Linked DNA regions of Xenopus tropicalis. The protein of the gene in region 1 interacts with the protein of each later gene in a biochemical or structural test. Links are inferred from orthologs where the notes say so. Each region holds a gene or a part of one and is shown on either strand. Other genes may lie near its edges. The genes, in order: slc9a1 and tesc.

Region 1 (8,842 bases):
TCGGACTCAAGGTGGCCACACACGTAGCGATTTTAGATCTTTCGTGTGACCATCGGTCGCACAAAAGATCATACAATCTGCCACTAACAGTTCAGGACTGAAACGGCAGATAAGGAGGTAGAAACAATAGGATTTCCTTCTGCCGATTCAGCCCTGACGGCAGATTTTGCTCAGGCACCTTCTATGGCGCCTGATCAAAATCTTTTAACCTGGCCAATCGGCGAGTCGACTGATATCAGCAGCCTCCTGCGATATCGGTCGACTCACCGACTTGCCATACATGCACCGAATATCGTACAAAACAAGGTTTCGTACGATATTATCGGTGCGTGTATCGCCAGCTTCAGGCACCATGCACTGAGATGGCTGCCTATATGCCAATATTACAACTAAAAAAAATACATTTGCTGGTTCAACTTAACAAAAATACATTTGCTGGTTCAGGAATAAAATTTTAAACGGTAGAGTGAATTATTAGCTATGTAAACAGTGTAACTTAGAAATAAAAAGAATACCATAAAAATCATGACAGTATCCCTTTAAGGGAAAATCCACTGCTCCTCAATTAGCTGATTGACTTATTAGCAGATTAATTATTATTTTTTTTTAAGAACAAACAGAAAAACATGTTTGGACATATTTCCCAAGAGAAAAAAACATGTATTCCAGCCAACTTCTCCATCATTCTAGGCATTAATAAACTGTTTCATACAGGCAAGTCTGAAAAGCATGAAGAATTTGTTAGAAAGGGTGAGGAAAGAAATAGAAAAGGGATAGATGAGAATAGAGCTATCTCTTATAGCTGATTCAGTGTTTAATAATCAAGCAGTAACATGTGTGGGGTTTTAGGATCTAGGATCAGGTAAGATTTACTTCTATGGAACTGAGAAGGAAAAGAGAACAGGACAAGCAACCACCACCCGATGAGGCTAAAACCAGCGCTATAGATAGTTGTCCCATGTGGAGTATATCTGTTAGGAATGTGATGCAGAAGACTGAGCTCTCTGGCCCTGTATCAGTCCCAGACCATGCCAGGAGACACAAGGAGTTCCATGTTAGAAATATTATAGTGTATAGTATTACTCAGAACAAGGTTCAATATTGCATTAAGCTCTTGTATTGATTTGTTTCTTTGTATCTAATCCAATAAAACCATTTTTGAGATAATTGTTGCTCCTCTTGTGCTGTTGATGCTTTGTAGCTCTCAAATCTTTCGATTTCCATGATCTTACGTAACTAATCAGGAAAACTCGGTGGCAAAGACTGTCCTCATCTCTAAGGTATTAGAAGTTTATCTGAGTCCAACATAATTGGTACTAGCGTTTTCTGGTATATTTTTCTGCTTATAGGTGTATGGTGTAAAACTATAGTAAGTGGTTCATTCAGGACCTCCGCATTTGTCACATCAGTGATAGCTTTGCATACTTTGTTCCAGTAATCAGACAGCATTGGGCATTCCCAGAAAATGTAAGAAAGTGTGCCTGGCCCAATAGGACATCTCCAACAGGTGGATGGAACTGTTTAATATATCTTGGCTAGTTTGACTGGAGTTCTGCACCATTTACTTAATATTTTGTAATTTAGTTCATGTATTCATATACAAATAGAGGTAGAGCATATTAGTGAGACTATTTTCTCCCATTCCTTGTTCTCTAAAGTTCTGCCCACTTGTTCTTCCAATTTGACTTTGAAGAAATGATTGGGGGTATCTTTATGGTTAAGTATGGCTTTCCATAATAGCTCTATTTGGGTATGCAAGGTTTTGGTTACACGACATGACATGGTAATGTGTGATAATGCTAGATAAATGGTAAATGTTTAATTTGTTCGTATTTGAACTGGTCAGGTGGTGTAGGCTGGAGATGAGGGAGAATGTTGTCTATAGGTGGGATAGTATTTCCAGAGAGAAAAAATAGACTACCTGGTGTTGTTTTACTTGCCATCTGTCATATAATTTGTGATTTTTTCCCAGTGGAAAAGTGGGGTTGCCAAATATTGGGGTAAATCGGGATGGTTTTCCAATTCATTTTGCAGTGTTAACAAGATTATCCCATACTTGGAGGGAGTATACTAGCTTTTTATCTGTTCTGTCAGCGATAAAAGGATATTCATATTCATTAAATTTTTGAGGTCTTGTTGCACTCTATTAAGCAGGCCCTAATAGTCTAGTTTTACCATGGTGTGTATAGACAAATTCGTTTTTAGACCCTAATTATATCAGCGGGCTACTTTTAAAGGGAAATTGCTCATTATGGTGTTATATTCATTCTAAGGTATGCTTATATTCATAACCTCTGATTTAGCTAAATGTATTTTAAAGTTGCTTAGATTGTTAAACTGGTCCAGTTCTGGTAATAGGTTTAGTATAGAGAACTGTGGACATCATAGAAAGAGTAACAGGTCATCTGCGTATCCAGCTATTTCTGCTTTCTTGTGCCCACTTCAATACCTGTGACATTTATTGCGTGATATAATTGAGGAAGCTCTCTATGGATATGACAAATAAAAGGGGCGACAGAAAACATAATTGGCAGGTTCCTTTGTGGATTGAGAAGGGTGCCATTGATTTTTAACCTAGCAGAGGGGGTTGAGTATAGAGCTGAAATCCAGTTAAGCATTTGGGATCCTAATCCTATAGTTCAGATTTAACGAGAAACTTCCAGTCTACTCTGTGAAATGCCTTCTAGTCGTAGCGGAAATTGATCGTTGCACTGGCCAGTAGCTCTCGCAGTGTGCGTTCTCTCAGCACCACATCAAGCCACTTATTAGCTCATTATGTTTACAATTTTAACTACTAGTGACTAGTTATTGGGCCCCTAAACATACACAGTTTATGTTACTTGTGCAAAAAGTTAAGTATTTTTTATATCAAGCAATGACAGCCAGAGTAAGGTTAGGAAAGAGGTAGACCTCCAACACATTAATGAAAGTCTTAATATGAACTGTTTATTATAGAGTAACTTCAGCTGTTGATATTGCATACACAAAAAATGGCCAAAATCTTGATACAGTGTGCTTGTGCTCATGAGGGGTTCCATATAAACCGCTTCTTCTACGGGGCCCCTAAGTTTCTGGAGGCTGTCCTGGCAGCAGGTACTGTTGGCAGGCCCGGATTTGTGGAAAGGCCACAAAGGCCCGGGCCTAGGGCGGCAGAATTTAGGGGCGGCATGCCGCCCCAACAAAATTTTTAAATTTGGCTCCCATACGGAGCAGTCGGGACCTCTCCCCACTGCTCCGTATGGGAGTTTAAAGGTTTGCGCATGCACACTCGCACCTGCGCACGGGGGTGTGTCGCGCGTTCGTGCATGCGCACAGGGGGCGGGGCGACCAACGGGGGCGGCCATCGGGGCGCCCTGAAGATAAATCCGGCCCTGACTGTTGGCATCCCTACCAACTGTCCCAATTTTCGAAGGACAGTCCCTCTTTTGACAGCTCATCCCACAGTCCTGTATTCTTACTAAAAAGTCCCTCTTTTTCCTTTGATCTCCTGCACTGAAGCTAAAAAAAGATACAAATTTAATTAAAAAGTAGCTTTTGGCAGAGAGCCCAGGAAGTTAAAAAGCCCCCCCAGCACTTAAGATACAATTGTAAATAATAAGTTAAACAGGTCTCTTGGGGGAACCAAGACTTCCAGCTTAATTTCAGCTTTTTTAACAAAACTTTAATAATACATAAAACAAGACCCCAAACCCCCCAGAAATGTGTTGAAATTAACCTTCCAAATATAGTCAAATGGGAGTGGTACTTAAGGGGTGTGGTTTTAAAAATATCATTTCTTTTTGTCCCTCTTTCCATTTTCAAAATGTTAGGAGGTATGCTGTCGGCAACCAGGAAAAAGTATTAGCGCCCTGGCACAATTCAAAAGTCTGAGCAACATGTATAAATGACTTCTAATAACACTGGGGACTAAGGTGACAGACGGAAAGGCATAAAACAACACACTAAAATCTCTGCTGTTTCTTTCCCTCTAACAGAAGTAGACAAAATAGATTTAAAGTTGAGCTACGGCAACTCATTTCCAGCTTCTGAACCCCGCCGACTGCTCACTCCCACAAGGCGTCTACGTGATGCGTCACTGCTCTTACCTGTGGGCGTGACGCAAGTCTCGCGAGATGAGACTTGGGGCGTTGAGATTTTCTTAAAGACAGGAGGCTGGGAACCTGCAGTTAACAATTTTGCGGGAGGTCTAAGTAGCGTACGGGGCTGGTGGCTGTGTATGGGAACTCGGGACTGTTTGGCATTATAAGCTGTGTAGGGGAAAGAACATACAGGCACTTTAGCGACCGGAATTCCTCCCAAAGTCTGTAGCTCACTGAAAGCAAAGGGGCCGGTAATTGAATAAGTGCAGCATAGCCGGGAAATCCTTTAAACCACAAAACCCACAGAGATTGTGACGGCTGCCCTCCTTTCATTCCCCGATGGCGGCCTTGGTTGTATTGGGAGTACATGTAGCCTTGTCCTTGTCTATGGGGATACACAGAAGTAGTTAGTCTTGCTTGTTCTTGTGTGTATATATATGTATATGTGTGTGTACACAAAGCCATTCCATAGCAGGCTGATGCATACTTTTATGCAGGTGTGTTATCAAGTGGTGTTTAAATCACGTTGTTAGGTACACAGGGTCCAGTAATTAATAATGGAGAAGAAATTGTTTCTAAACTACTTTGGCTATATATTTATTTTGACTCTGATACCCTTAGTATTTAGTGAGGCTAGTTATCCTCCTGAATCTGGTCATCCTGGCATAACTGATGCCTATGATGTGTTTGAGGATACCCACCATGATAGTACCAATCACAGTCACGAAGGAGGGCATCATGGAAAAAAGAAAGCTTTCCCTGTTCTTGATCTGGATTACACTCGTATTCGGATGCCCTTTGAGATAGCATTATGGATCCTTCTGGCATCACTTATGAAACTTGGTGAGTAATGACAGGTGTTACATGCTATCAGAATACATGTCTTGGTTTGCCAGGAAGAAGCAAATGAGTCAGTTTTCAGCCAACAATCTTCCACCAAAAAGTTATGTTAATTAGTTCTCTTTTTTTATTTCTATTAATGCATTTTTTAAAATTATTAATTACATATTACTTTATGTGTATGCAGCTCTTTGCAGAGACTGTTCATCATTTACATCAATCTGCCCAGTGGAGCTTGCAGTCTCAGATCCCTATCAGTCACACAACAAACAAGGTTCTGAGAAGTTTAACCCCAAACATACAGGGTAACACTGTAACAAGAACTCAGGCTTCAGTTGCTAAGGTCTGTTATCTCTAAATTAAAAGATAATATGGATTTTTTTTTAAATATAATAATACACCTTTAACAAATATTTGTGTGATGGAGATTGTATGAGTACACATAACTTAGTAAACATGGGAAAAGGAGCAGCCACAGTTTCTGAGGAGGAATTACAATTATTATAAATAATAAAAGCTAATAAGCTAGTATCACAAAATGTAAATATAAATAATTTTACTATTTCCTTAAATAAGGTGCTATCAGATTCAATAGCAATTTAATATAATGGCTTGTTAAATATTTGTTTTACAAAAGGAAAACTTCCATACAATATTTTTGATAGATGAACTGTTTTTTGTTTTATTATGGTTTATAAATTGTCTGGTTTGTAAATAAATTTGCAATATTTTTGGATAGCGGCCTCTACCATATATATTTTAATGTTAGTTATAGAGAACACCACCCCACCTTGGTAGGCAAGCACTGAGTAAAGCTCTCCTCTGAACTTAAAAGTGGTATCTTAAAAGTGTAATATAAAAGCTTTAAGCCGTGTTCTGCTGAATGTATAGAACTATGGCTATGTTATATTTAACAACCTGTGTGATTGTTGGTAGTGCCCAGGAGGAAGTTTTGTTTTATAGAAGTAATGTCAAATTGGGGATATCATTTTACATTACATAGTCTCTTACATGAGTGCTGCTTACGTGCGTGCTTACAGTGCTGCTTTTCATTTAACATTCACAATCCCATACATGAGTTAGTTATAAACCACCTATAGAAAGTGGTTTATTTTGCTGCTTGGACTGGTGATTAGCAACATTTGGCAGTACTCTGAGTCAGTTAGTCAAATTCTGTTTTTAATAGAATATAATGTAGTTGTTTGCATGCAGATGAACATAGAACAGATACGCCCTGGGGCTCAAGATGATCAGATGATACTGTCACAGGTTTTGCTTTATTTTGTTTTCTGTGTAATTCTTTTTGTTCAGTAGAATCAAAAATTGCCATCAAGTATCCTGTGCTTGCACACATTTCAGTTACTAATGCTTTTACAGAAGATATGGGAGTTTATATGGAAAATTGTTCCACTTTAGTTAAAAGGTTCTAAAAGTGTTTTTAAAGAATGAGAAAAGCACAGAATGTTGTGTTCTAAACGCTCCCAGCTGAGTTTTCAGGACAGTAGTATGCAGAATAAAAATTTCATTTGATTTCTATTTTTATTTTTTGAAAAATGTCTTTAATTTCCCTAAGCTTACAGTGGTGTTTGAAAGTTTGTAAACCCTTTTAAATTCTCAGTATTTTGGCCTAGAAGTAATCTTTTTTTCGCGCTATAACTATATAACGAGATCCCAATTAAATTAATGGTTATTGATGCTCACTGGGCTGTAAAGAATTTACAAAACCAAATTCTTAGGCTAATGCCAGATGTGATATATTTTCGGCAAGCTGGAAAACACTTGCCGAGAATCCGCCCTGCTACTGTAAAAACCTCCTGCTTGTGCCTGAATACTCAAGGGTGCCGGTACAAGTACCGTATTTCTGCCTGAAAATGTTGGTGTATGCAGTTTCCGGCAGAAATACACCACATGTGCCTGCACCCGAGCGTATTCAATGCTTCCAGGTGCAGGCTCTAGTAGTAGATTTTTGCAGCGTAGGGGCGCATTCTCTGTAAGTGTTTTCGGTGTGCCGAGAATACACCACATCTGGCATTAGCCTGACAATTTGGACTCCACCTGTCCACTGCACAAATATAGGCAATTCAACACCATCATTACCCTCTTTGGTGTGGTGGACCAACAAAGATCACACCAAGGGCTAGATTAATCTAAGTACGAATCCGAATCATGAAATCCATTAATTTCTGATGTTTGGAAAAGTCATGAAAATTCAGTTCGTTTGAATACAAAAATTTCGTACTTATGATCTGAAGTTTGTGTTGAAACGATCGTTTGCGCAAATCACGAAATTTTCATATCCGAACGGTCGTAAATGGCGGGAAAACCTTTCTGACTTTGAACCTTCAGTGCATGATTTTGGAAATCTCCCATAGGACTCTATGGCACTCTGCAGCTCCAACCTGGCCCAAGGAAAGTCACGATACCAAAGCTTGAATGATTTTGTCGCAAAAAAGTACGAAAAATATGAAAAAGTCGCGCAAATTAACGAAAATATTGCAGAAAATACACAAAAGTAAACTTTAGAAAGAAATACTAATTTTTTGCATTCGAACCTGTCGTATTTTGATGAATGTGCCCCCAAGTGTAATAATTGAGTATGTTGAGTTGAGTATGTCATACTGCAAGTTTGAAGGACAGATTAAAATGTCACACAATGGAGTCTATGAAGCCCTTAAAAAGACTGGGGGGCAATAAAATTTGGCATATCTGGCTCATAGACATCCCTTTTGACTGATGTCATCAGGACATGGCTTACTCTGAGCCATATTTAAAACAATACGATTTTTTAAATGAACTACCTCTTTAATTTCACAGGTATATTTAACTATGCATATTTGCGAAATACAGCTGTAAAGCAATGATCATTAGACCAGATAGTTATAACAGCACTATGTAAATCATTCCTTCATCGGTTTTGAGCTTTGGTGTAAGGGTGAGAAGAATTAATTACTAAATGTTTAAGGTTACCTGTGTGCACCTCGTTCACTGTATAAAACAAACTGCTTTTTATAAAGGCCAAGAGATTATAAAGCACTACATGTTCACATAATAAAGTTGTGAAGAGAACAAAAGTAAATACTGAGTGCCTGAGAAAAAAAATGGGAAAAAACGATATACCTTTGTGGTGTGCAATTACTAAAAGCACAAAGAATTCCATAAGTAGAGAATCATTAAAGGTATTCATGGTTACTATTATCAAGGCAACAAACAAATAACGTGTGAAATCTTACACTTATTGTGTGACAAAAGTACTAGTGGAAAATCTCAGTTTATCAAGAAACAAAGCTAGTAACCCCGCAATTCTAAGGAATTTTTACATAGTGTTTTCTGCTGCTCTTTCATAAAATAACCTTATTTTAAAAATAAACTGCTCAGGATGCTGGGAAGTGAAGTTCAGAATACGTAGCAAAAATTATTTCTTTTTTGTATTGGCTCTGCAGTAAATGAGTGTTCCTATATTTTGTACTGTTGAAATAGTCTGCAGTTCTTTTGAGGGATTAATTTTGGTGATCCCAAAAATATACACAATAGAAAGTGATTACTGAGGCCTAAAAACAATCTGAAATATGTGCCAAAAGGTGTGGCTCTGGAAATCCCGATTCATTTACTTTTCAAAAAGTAACTGCCTGTTCTGTGCTTTTATTCAGAAGTCTTTCTGTAGGTCATTGTGCAATTTGACCTCATGACTAGTAAAACTGGATTTGAGGGGATAGAGGAAAGGTGTTGGCTCTCGCTGTAGTGAGAATGCTAATGAGCTGTGTGGCTGCACTTTTCATATATATCTTTTTGTTTTTTGTTTTGGGCACTCAGTGCTCTGTTACAGCAACTTGGTATCATAGCTACCATATAGTGCTATAAATTCCACAATGTGGGACAAAAGTTAGTAAAAGTGAAAAAGCTTTTTGTGTTTTAATGCCACTTGA
Region 2 (8,145 bases), on another chromosome or scaffold:
ATGCTCACCTAAGGTGGGCGATATTGAAATAATCACATCAATGAGCCAATGCAGTCTTTAATCCAATGTGAAAATCAAACCTACCCAAACGACACTTGGCCAATTTTCAGCCAGATATCGATATCCTGTGGGGGGTCCCAATAAATGGGCAGATAAGCAGCCAAATCGGTCTGAAGGACTTGAATCGGGGGCTTAAATCTGCCTGTATATGGCCACCTTCAGCCATCATATATAAGTTACTTATGTCATGCACAGGACTATTTAGCGTAGGCATTAATGGAAATTGCTGGTAGGAAACCATACATGGCCAGGTTCTCTGCAGATTGAAAGCATAAGCATTGTATTTGGTTTAAATAACCAGTATGGAAAATCTAATTAATAATTTACACATTTTTCACAGCAGACAGATGAATTAGCTCTTAAAATGCTAAATTTTCAATTTAAAAGGTGGAAATTTGGTTCTTAAAGGAGACGGAAAGTCATTTTGGCATTTTACTGGCAATAGATTTGACACATTAGTGCCACCTAGAACGCTATATTTATTCAGCAGAAAGCTTTACTATACCTGAGTAAAGAACCCTCGAAGCTCCCTCTGATAGCAGCTGCCATTTTAGATTGGTCTTGGTAGCTTCCTACTGCAGTTATAGCTCAGATAACCCATTCCTAAGGGGGGGGGGGCGGGAGTTTGTATGCATTTTTATAGGAGGGGGGGGAACTGGGGAGACTCCTGCCAAAAACCCAGGGCCGGAACTAGGGGATAGGCAGAAGAGGCAGCTGGCTAGGGTGCAACAATTGGGGGGCGCCAGGCAGAAACCTCTCCTGCCTATCCCTAGCCCGTGCTCCCTTCTCATTGCCCCACCGGTTGTCATGCGGTGGGGGCAATGGCTCTCCCCCCTCCCTTGGCCTGCCCCTGCCCAAACATGAAGGAGCCCTAAAAGAGAGGAAGTCTGATACCAAAGAACATGTTCACAAAAAGGAGACAAAAAAATCCTGTTTCTTTTGATAGAGGACTCAGTGCAGCATTACTGTGAGTGCTTATGGCTGTATTTACATAGACCTTCTGATAAAGCTTTCTTAGTTTTTACCTTTCCTTCTTCAGTGTCACCATTTAGCTGCCTGAGACAAGGGTTTCCTTGCTACATGAGATATGTATGGAATTTATTCATCTAAGAAACTAGCACGGGTGTGCTTAACTGGGCACAGATTTATCCAAAGTTTAGACATCTCCTTTATCTTTAACTTAACTGAAAAAAGCATTTCTCTCGCATACTGAGGTCTTTCTGAGATTTATCCACTTTTTGCCAGTTTTCACAATCTAGTTTCTATCAGTGCACTGATTTAAGAATTATCAGGTTGGTTTATTAATACGTTAAATAGAAACATATGGGAAAATCTCAGGTAAATCAAAGTACCACGTATTATGTTTTTTTTCTTTTTTAAATATTTCTTGTGTCAGGTTTCTCAGGGGTGCCAAGAAAGCTCTTCTTGAGTGAGGCTCACGTCACATGCAACATAAGTGTAGAATCCACCAATCTGATGGCAGCTTCTACACTAGGGTATTGATGCCCCTGAGAAAATGGACACAAAAAACAGTACACAGTACTTTTGATATATCTGTCCCTATGGGTTTAGCTGGCCTGGATTAAATTCAAAATTAGTGGCATCAAATCATTCAGCCGAAATAAAAATATAGAATTAGGGAAATGCATTATACGTTGTGGTAATACAAAAATGGTCTAAAAAGAGGAAAAACTTTAAATCAGGACGTAAAACAGGTTTCGTTGTAAGTAGATCCGCTGGCCACAGGTACCCCCTGAAAGTACCATGAAACTGCTTTCAGCTCTTTCACTATCGTCAGGAATTATTTTGTTTTAACAGTGTTTGAAATATAAGGCTTAAGTCTCACTAGGAATTGTATTTGAGCAGGCACCTAATAATTACAAACTGCTCACCCCCAGCTCAGACATACAGGCTTTCACTAACCTGGGAATATTAATAAAGGCTGGGTAATGAGCAGCCCGGTCACTCTCATATATAAATAAAGCTGGGTCTGGGAGCAAGTTGAGGAGGCATCTGACTGTATTGCTAGGAATAGCTGCAGAGGAATGATAATTTGGCAGCTATGTGTGCTCATCAAAATTCTTCACATTCTTCTCTAAGCTCCTGTAATGCGTCTTCTTGTTAATGTACATTCAGAGCATCAGCTGATAAGCAGACAGTGGCCACTAAAGAACTTGGCCGGACACACTCAGCTAGAAGTGATGCTTGCCAACAAGTTTTTTGAGGAACAAGCTGCTGCCCCACTTTCAGATACGCACGTAGCCTTTTTTCCTTGCTTGAAAAAAATATATAATATCTACTTGTGCTGCTTTTTACGTATAGGCTTGTACCTGGCCTTGCCAGATTTTATTTATTTTGAGAAGGCTGCAGTCTAAGCCTGAACATTAGCATCCAAGTACTCTGACCTGGACCGTGGGCAAAAGTGGATCATTAGACAAAAATATAGTTGGTAAATAGTTTGGGACCAGGAAGTGTAATGGCGTGCCCGCCTAAAGCCTGTATCCTACAAGGTTTATAGCTAGCAAAAATTGTCTGTTCATTTAGTTGCCTTAAAACTTCTGAAAATCTAAAGTTGACCACGACAAAAGATCTGCACGATTGGCAAGGTCACCACAGAGGGCCAAATAAGGATGACCTACTTAGTTGGTCTATAGGACAAGGGCTGGCTAATAACAGGGGGCTAAGGCAGGCCTGTCAGGACAGTTACACAGAAATGTGCCGATTCAGCTTTTGCCCAATAAGATTTCCTAACCTGCATGAACAGATACCTGGCCAATGGGCATAAAGTTGGTGTACACTTAGGCACCTGAATAAGTTTTATACAAAGCAATTTGTGTTCACCATTAAAGGATTCCCGGCATTGTGTTCCACCCCTGGTGTGTGAGTGCAACATGTGAGCACTGGGCCGTGTAACTACTGCTGGCACAACACGCATGGCAAATTGAGGGTCCAATTAAGGAACTACAGATTCATCTCTCAAAGCTGCTGCTCCTGCTACTTGCATGTGTATATGTTTTGGCAACATTTTTTAATAGAAGAGCCCAGAAAGTCTTCCAGCTAATGTACTGCAGTGTTTGCTACCAAGGCAGCAGTGCTGCTCCCACTTCCTATCATGTTCAGCTACTGTGTATTGGTATTGAAGTGCTCTTCAGAGACTTTTCATTATAAAGTTTCGACAATGTATTTTGGCAAATGAATCAAAACAAATAGTTACCTTGAGGAAGTCATCAAATGTAATTCCTTCATATACCTGGTCAGGTTCCTGTCAAAGCATAAGATTAAAATGCCTTAATAAATGGGTTTAACACAAGAGGGCACAAGCATAGCAGCTAAAGGTGATTTGCAGAGCTATGTGCACCTATTACTATTTGCACTGTGCAGAATACAGCAGAGGGGAGATAAGTAGGGCGCCTGAAGGTGGCCATACACAAGGTCACCAAACGAGAGAATATTTCTCCTGATATATCCCCTTAGGTGGGTGATATTGTGCTAATGTGATTGTTTGGCCCTAGGAGCAAACAATATATCCCTAACCACTCCTTTCCACCAGCAACAGCAGGCCAGTAGAAAGGCCTATGCATCGCTTTGACTCGCACAAAGTTGCCTGCAGGAGGAAAACTGAAGCAAAGTGTAGGCCTTTCCACCTGGGACTCCTATTGTTGCCAGTGGAAAGGCATTTCAGAGCTGTTAGTTGCCCGCAGTAGCAGAGATCTATCACTAGTAACTAACTTGCTCCATGGGACATTAGCCTAAATGGAAATTGTTCTGGCAGGCCTTGGACTGGGCACTATACAAACAACAATGCAGAGTTTATTGTGGATTTTATTGCCTTTATCACGCCTTATCAGTGTGTCACACTCAATTACCCTTCAATTGGCAGAGCACCGATTTGATACAGTTTCGGAGCAGCAGGAATAATGTACACTTCTTGCTTCCTTGACTGATATAAAATAGGTGATTTCAGGGATAATCTCCTATAAAGGGGGGGTATGGTACTTAAACTGTGCTCTGATGTGGATTTCATGCCCAATTTAGCACAAATATTGTACTGAGGAACTATTAGGGCAATGACATGTGGTGCTATATGTTGCACTTGTTTTCTTGCAGGTACAAATGGCAGGAATAGTGAGAAGTGTCTCCGCTGAAACACTTAAATCGCATAATTTTAAGTGATTTTGAGTGTTTCAGCAAAGAATTCTCAGCATTGTCTCTAGCATTTTCTAGCATTTTGTAGCTGTGACAAAACCCAGGCCACAAATAGCACCAGTGTCTAAATCAGGGGTGTCAAACTCAATCACATAAGGGGGCCGAAATCTAAAACACAGGCTAAGTCGTGGGCCAATTTTTTTATCAATATACTTAGTAAGATACTAAGGGCTATATTTATCACAATGTGTAAAAAGTGGAGTAAGATGTTGCTCATAGCAGCCAATAGATGCTTTGCTACTGATAGATATACCACTTAGTCTTAGTTACTATGTAAGGAAAATGGAAATTGATCAGGCTGGATGGTCAAACACACCCACCAGGGGCCACATAAAACAGCCAGGTGGGCCGGATTTGGCCCCCGGGCCTTGTGTTTGACATATATGGTCTAAATACAGAGAATGGCATAGGATAGATGTATTTAACTTTAAATCCTTTTGGTTTGTGCACATTACAGGAGAATCCCAGCACTGATGCAGAGAGTAGGGTGTCATGTTATATCATAAGAGAATAGTTGCCAACATGTGGCACAAATAGCACAATGGACAACTCCTCAGAGTTTCTCTCGTAAAGAGAGATACCTTCTATCTATTGCAGCACTTTTATTTTCTATGCACAAGAAGCTCAAGTTTATGGGTCAGTGACTCTTTAAGCCACACCACATCAAATCCCACCTATTTTCAGCCTTCTAGCAGCTTTATAATATGATAAATTACCATTTGGCCAACACAAATGCTGGCAGCTTCCAACATTGCTCCATCTGCAATGGATCTTGCAGTTTCCTTTTCAATATTCGGATTTCCAGATAAGAGTTCTTCTACCACCTAGGCCATTACAAAACAGCGTTAGCTTGGACAGCTTCCCAGGATAGATAGATAGATAGATAGATAGATAGATGCAAGTAAGGTAAAACGTATACATTACTTTTCTGTATTCCTCCAGGGTAATCTTGCTATCATTGTCTGTATCATACATGTTGAACAGAACTATGTGAGAAAAGAAAGCTGTGTTTAGTCTGTGCTCTTGCAAAGATAGTCAATGTATTGAATGTTTTTCCGCCAAAATTTGCTCCATGCGCCTGTATCCAGGCCAACTCAATGGTTACGGGTGCAGGCACAGGGAAAGACTGATGCCAGGGTAGGGGCCGATTCCTTCCCAGGACGAGAATCAGCCTTGTGTGGTAGCAGCTTAAGTGGAACTAGGATATGGGAAAATACACCTCCTATTGTACTATATAAACACGAATTATTATCTAAATGCTATAGGGATTATATCACACTGTTTGGCCCACAGTGCTGATACCTAGCCCAATTGTTTCCTGAATCTAATAGCCTGTGTGCAAGAGCTTTGTTCATCTGCCCAGTGTGCAGCCAGCAATGGAGGATGGTGTTTATATGGGACAATGCTGCTGGAAACCTGGCAACATACACCAAAAATATGAAAGTATTATAAAGTAGATAAAATATTATGAACTACAATGGTAATAGCTGTGTGTTCAGAAAGACTACTGTAGTTTATACTAACAAGCTGCTGTGTAGCCATAGGGGCACAATGTTCTTTTACAAAGCTTATCTGTTATCTGCCATGTAACCTGCACCATTTTGCCCTATTTCAGTTTGAATGGCTGCCCCATGGACAGCTTATTTATACAAACTATAGTAGCAAACAAACATTTTACCAGTGCAGGGCAACAGTACATTATATTGTAATTACTTTTATAACATTTTCATTTTTTGGTGTTACTGTTCCTTTAAAACATGTAGTACAGTCCCCAGTATGGCGGGAGCTTGCTGGCAAAGTTTAGTTCCCCTTTAAGAATGAATGCATACTATGTATATGGTAACTCTACGCAAGTCATGTTCAGTTCATGCAGGCCATTCTGTACATAGGCATGAAGAACTCACATCTCAGCTTGTCTTTCCGACACACGCTTATGTTTTCTTCATCCATATTCTGGCTCAGGGGGCGGAAATAGGACATTATTGTCAGAAACTCCTCAAAGTTAATTTCTTCTACATATCCACTCGACCCTTTCCGTAAATTCCTGCAAGAGAGATGCAAGGAAATGCAAGAATTCGCTAGGAGTAATCAGCAGACTATGGGGCAAATGAGAACTGCTACCAGCACTATTTGGCCACCAATATTCCCCTAGAGAAAAAAGGCAAAATAAGTCAGAAGGAACCACTGAATTTCCTTCACTAAATGGAGCCCAAGTCAGCCCCACAGCTACATGTGAGATGGGAGTATATAATTACCAAGGGTTATTACTGTGAAACTCACAGAGCTGGATGATTGTAATTGCGCTGCTATGCCCACCCCAGGAACCCTTTCTATGTCACCTTATCATATTTACTATCCAGTGTGCATTAGGTATTTATGACATTGATCTCCAGTGCAGTTTGCAGCTCATTTTTAACAAAGTTCAGAATCACATTTAGTAAGATGAAATGTAACAAAACACCATTTCTTTGATGGAAAGCAGTTTCTGTACTTGTGCGGCTTATCTATACGTTATGGTTTACCAATTTTGCTGAACTCTACATGAAGGATATGAATAGCCATACTTAGTATTAAACTCTGAAAAATTCATCAGCTTTGCTTATCTGGGGTGTAATGTGTCACTAAGAAGCTGTGGGGGCTCCCAGTTATAAAACCAAGATTCTGTCTGTTGGTGGCTTGCCTGAGGAACAGTAATGTACAATGGCCTGTCATGTGGCCCCCTAATTACTCTGCACTTTGCAATGTCAGTTGGGAATTTATGTGACTCTGTTTCCAAGCAAACCTCAACTAAGAACACTTTTTAGCGAGAAGGTCCTGCTATTTGTTTTGTTTCTGCACCTGACTCTTACTGCCCATGGTGCTACAGAAACATATTACGCAGACAATGCAGAATCTGATACTAAAGTCAAGAGATGGGAATGATCAGCACTGGCCTATCCTATAACCAAAGCCTGGGCCAAGTTACCAATACAAGTTGTGTGAGATACTACCCAGATATGGGCGGAGGGGTCACAGTGTTAATCATTAGCATCACTCAGCACAGAAACCAGGGTAGAGAAATAATAACCATCTCCTCCATCTCCTTTCTTGGTGTTTTAATTCCAGATAAAATAAATGATACATTGTACTCAAGCACACAGCGCATTGCGTTTGGCTTAGTGTGTATGTCAGCAAAGACTCTCTGTTTCTCCATTAACAGGCCAAATCTCATCAGGAATCCCATGTCATTGGTTACTTGTTTGCAGAAGAAGAGGATAGTGTAGGACAAAGGTATTAGCATATTTACACAGGTTATCTGCCCTGTCCATGGTTAAAGGAACAGTTCAATGTAGGAATAAGGGCTCTGGCACACGGGGGAGATTAGTCGCCCGCGACAAAACTCCCTGTTCGCGGGCGACTGATCTCCCCGAGTTGCCTACCCCTGCCATCTCACCGGCGAAATCGCCCCGCCGCGTGTGCCATCCCGCCGGCGACTTACATGTTCGCCGGCGGGATGGCGGGTCATGGCAACTCGGGGAGATGTCGCCCGCGAACAGGGAGTTTTGTCGCGGGCGACTAATCTCCCCCGTGTGCCAGAGCCCTAAAACTGGGTAAGTATAGGTTGTGTGAAAAAAAATGTTTCTAATATAGTTTGGCAAGAATGTAATCTATAAAGGCTGGAGTGAGTGGATGTCTAACATAATAGCCAGAACACTACTTCCTGCTTTTAGTTCTTTAACCTGTCGGTGAGTGGAAGGGGACCCATGGGACATAATTGTTCAGTTAGTTTGTGAGCATGCAGGTCAGGATGAAAATCAAACTAACCAAACTTTTATGAAGGTCTCATATGGTCCCCCTCAAGTAGTTGACTAACTAAGAGGTTAGAGAGCTGTAAAGGAG

The links.
Region 2: the proteins of slc9a1 (region 1) and tesc form a complex in vitro, tested with the Homo sapiens proteins (4 studies listed by BioGRID and IntAct, with this or other methods). The link is inferred for Xenopus tropicalis from reciprocal best matches to the Homo sapiens genes SLC9A1 and TESC.

The regions. Positions count from the first base shown.
Region 1 is NC_030678.2:77,892,454-77,901,295, reverse strand, and holds the start of slc9a1 (sodium/hydrogen exchanger 1), read left to right. Parts: upstream 1-4,099; 5' UTR 4,100-4,636; coding exon 4,637-4,922; intron 4,923-8,842. UniProt on the Homo sapiens protein: Electroneutral Na(+) /H(+) antiporter that extrudes Na(+) in exchange for external protons driven by the inward sodium ion chemical gradient, protecting cells from acidification that occurs from metabolism.
Region 2 is NC_030677.2:164,792,437-164,800,581, forward strand, and holds part of tesc (calcineurin B homologous protein 3), read right to left. Parts: intron 6,311-8,145; coding exon 6,171-6,310; intron 5,253-6,170; coding exon 5,191-5,252; intron 5,091-5,190; coding exon 4,983-5,090; intron 3,323-4,982; coding exon 3,275-3,322; intron 1-3,274. UniProt on the Homo sapiens protein: Functions as an integral cofactor in cell pH regulation by controlling plasma membrane-type Na(+)/H(+) exchange activity. Promotes the maturation, transport, cell surface stability and exchange activity of SLC9A1/NHE1 at the plasma membrane.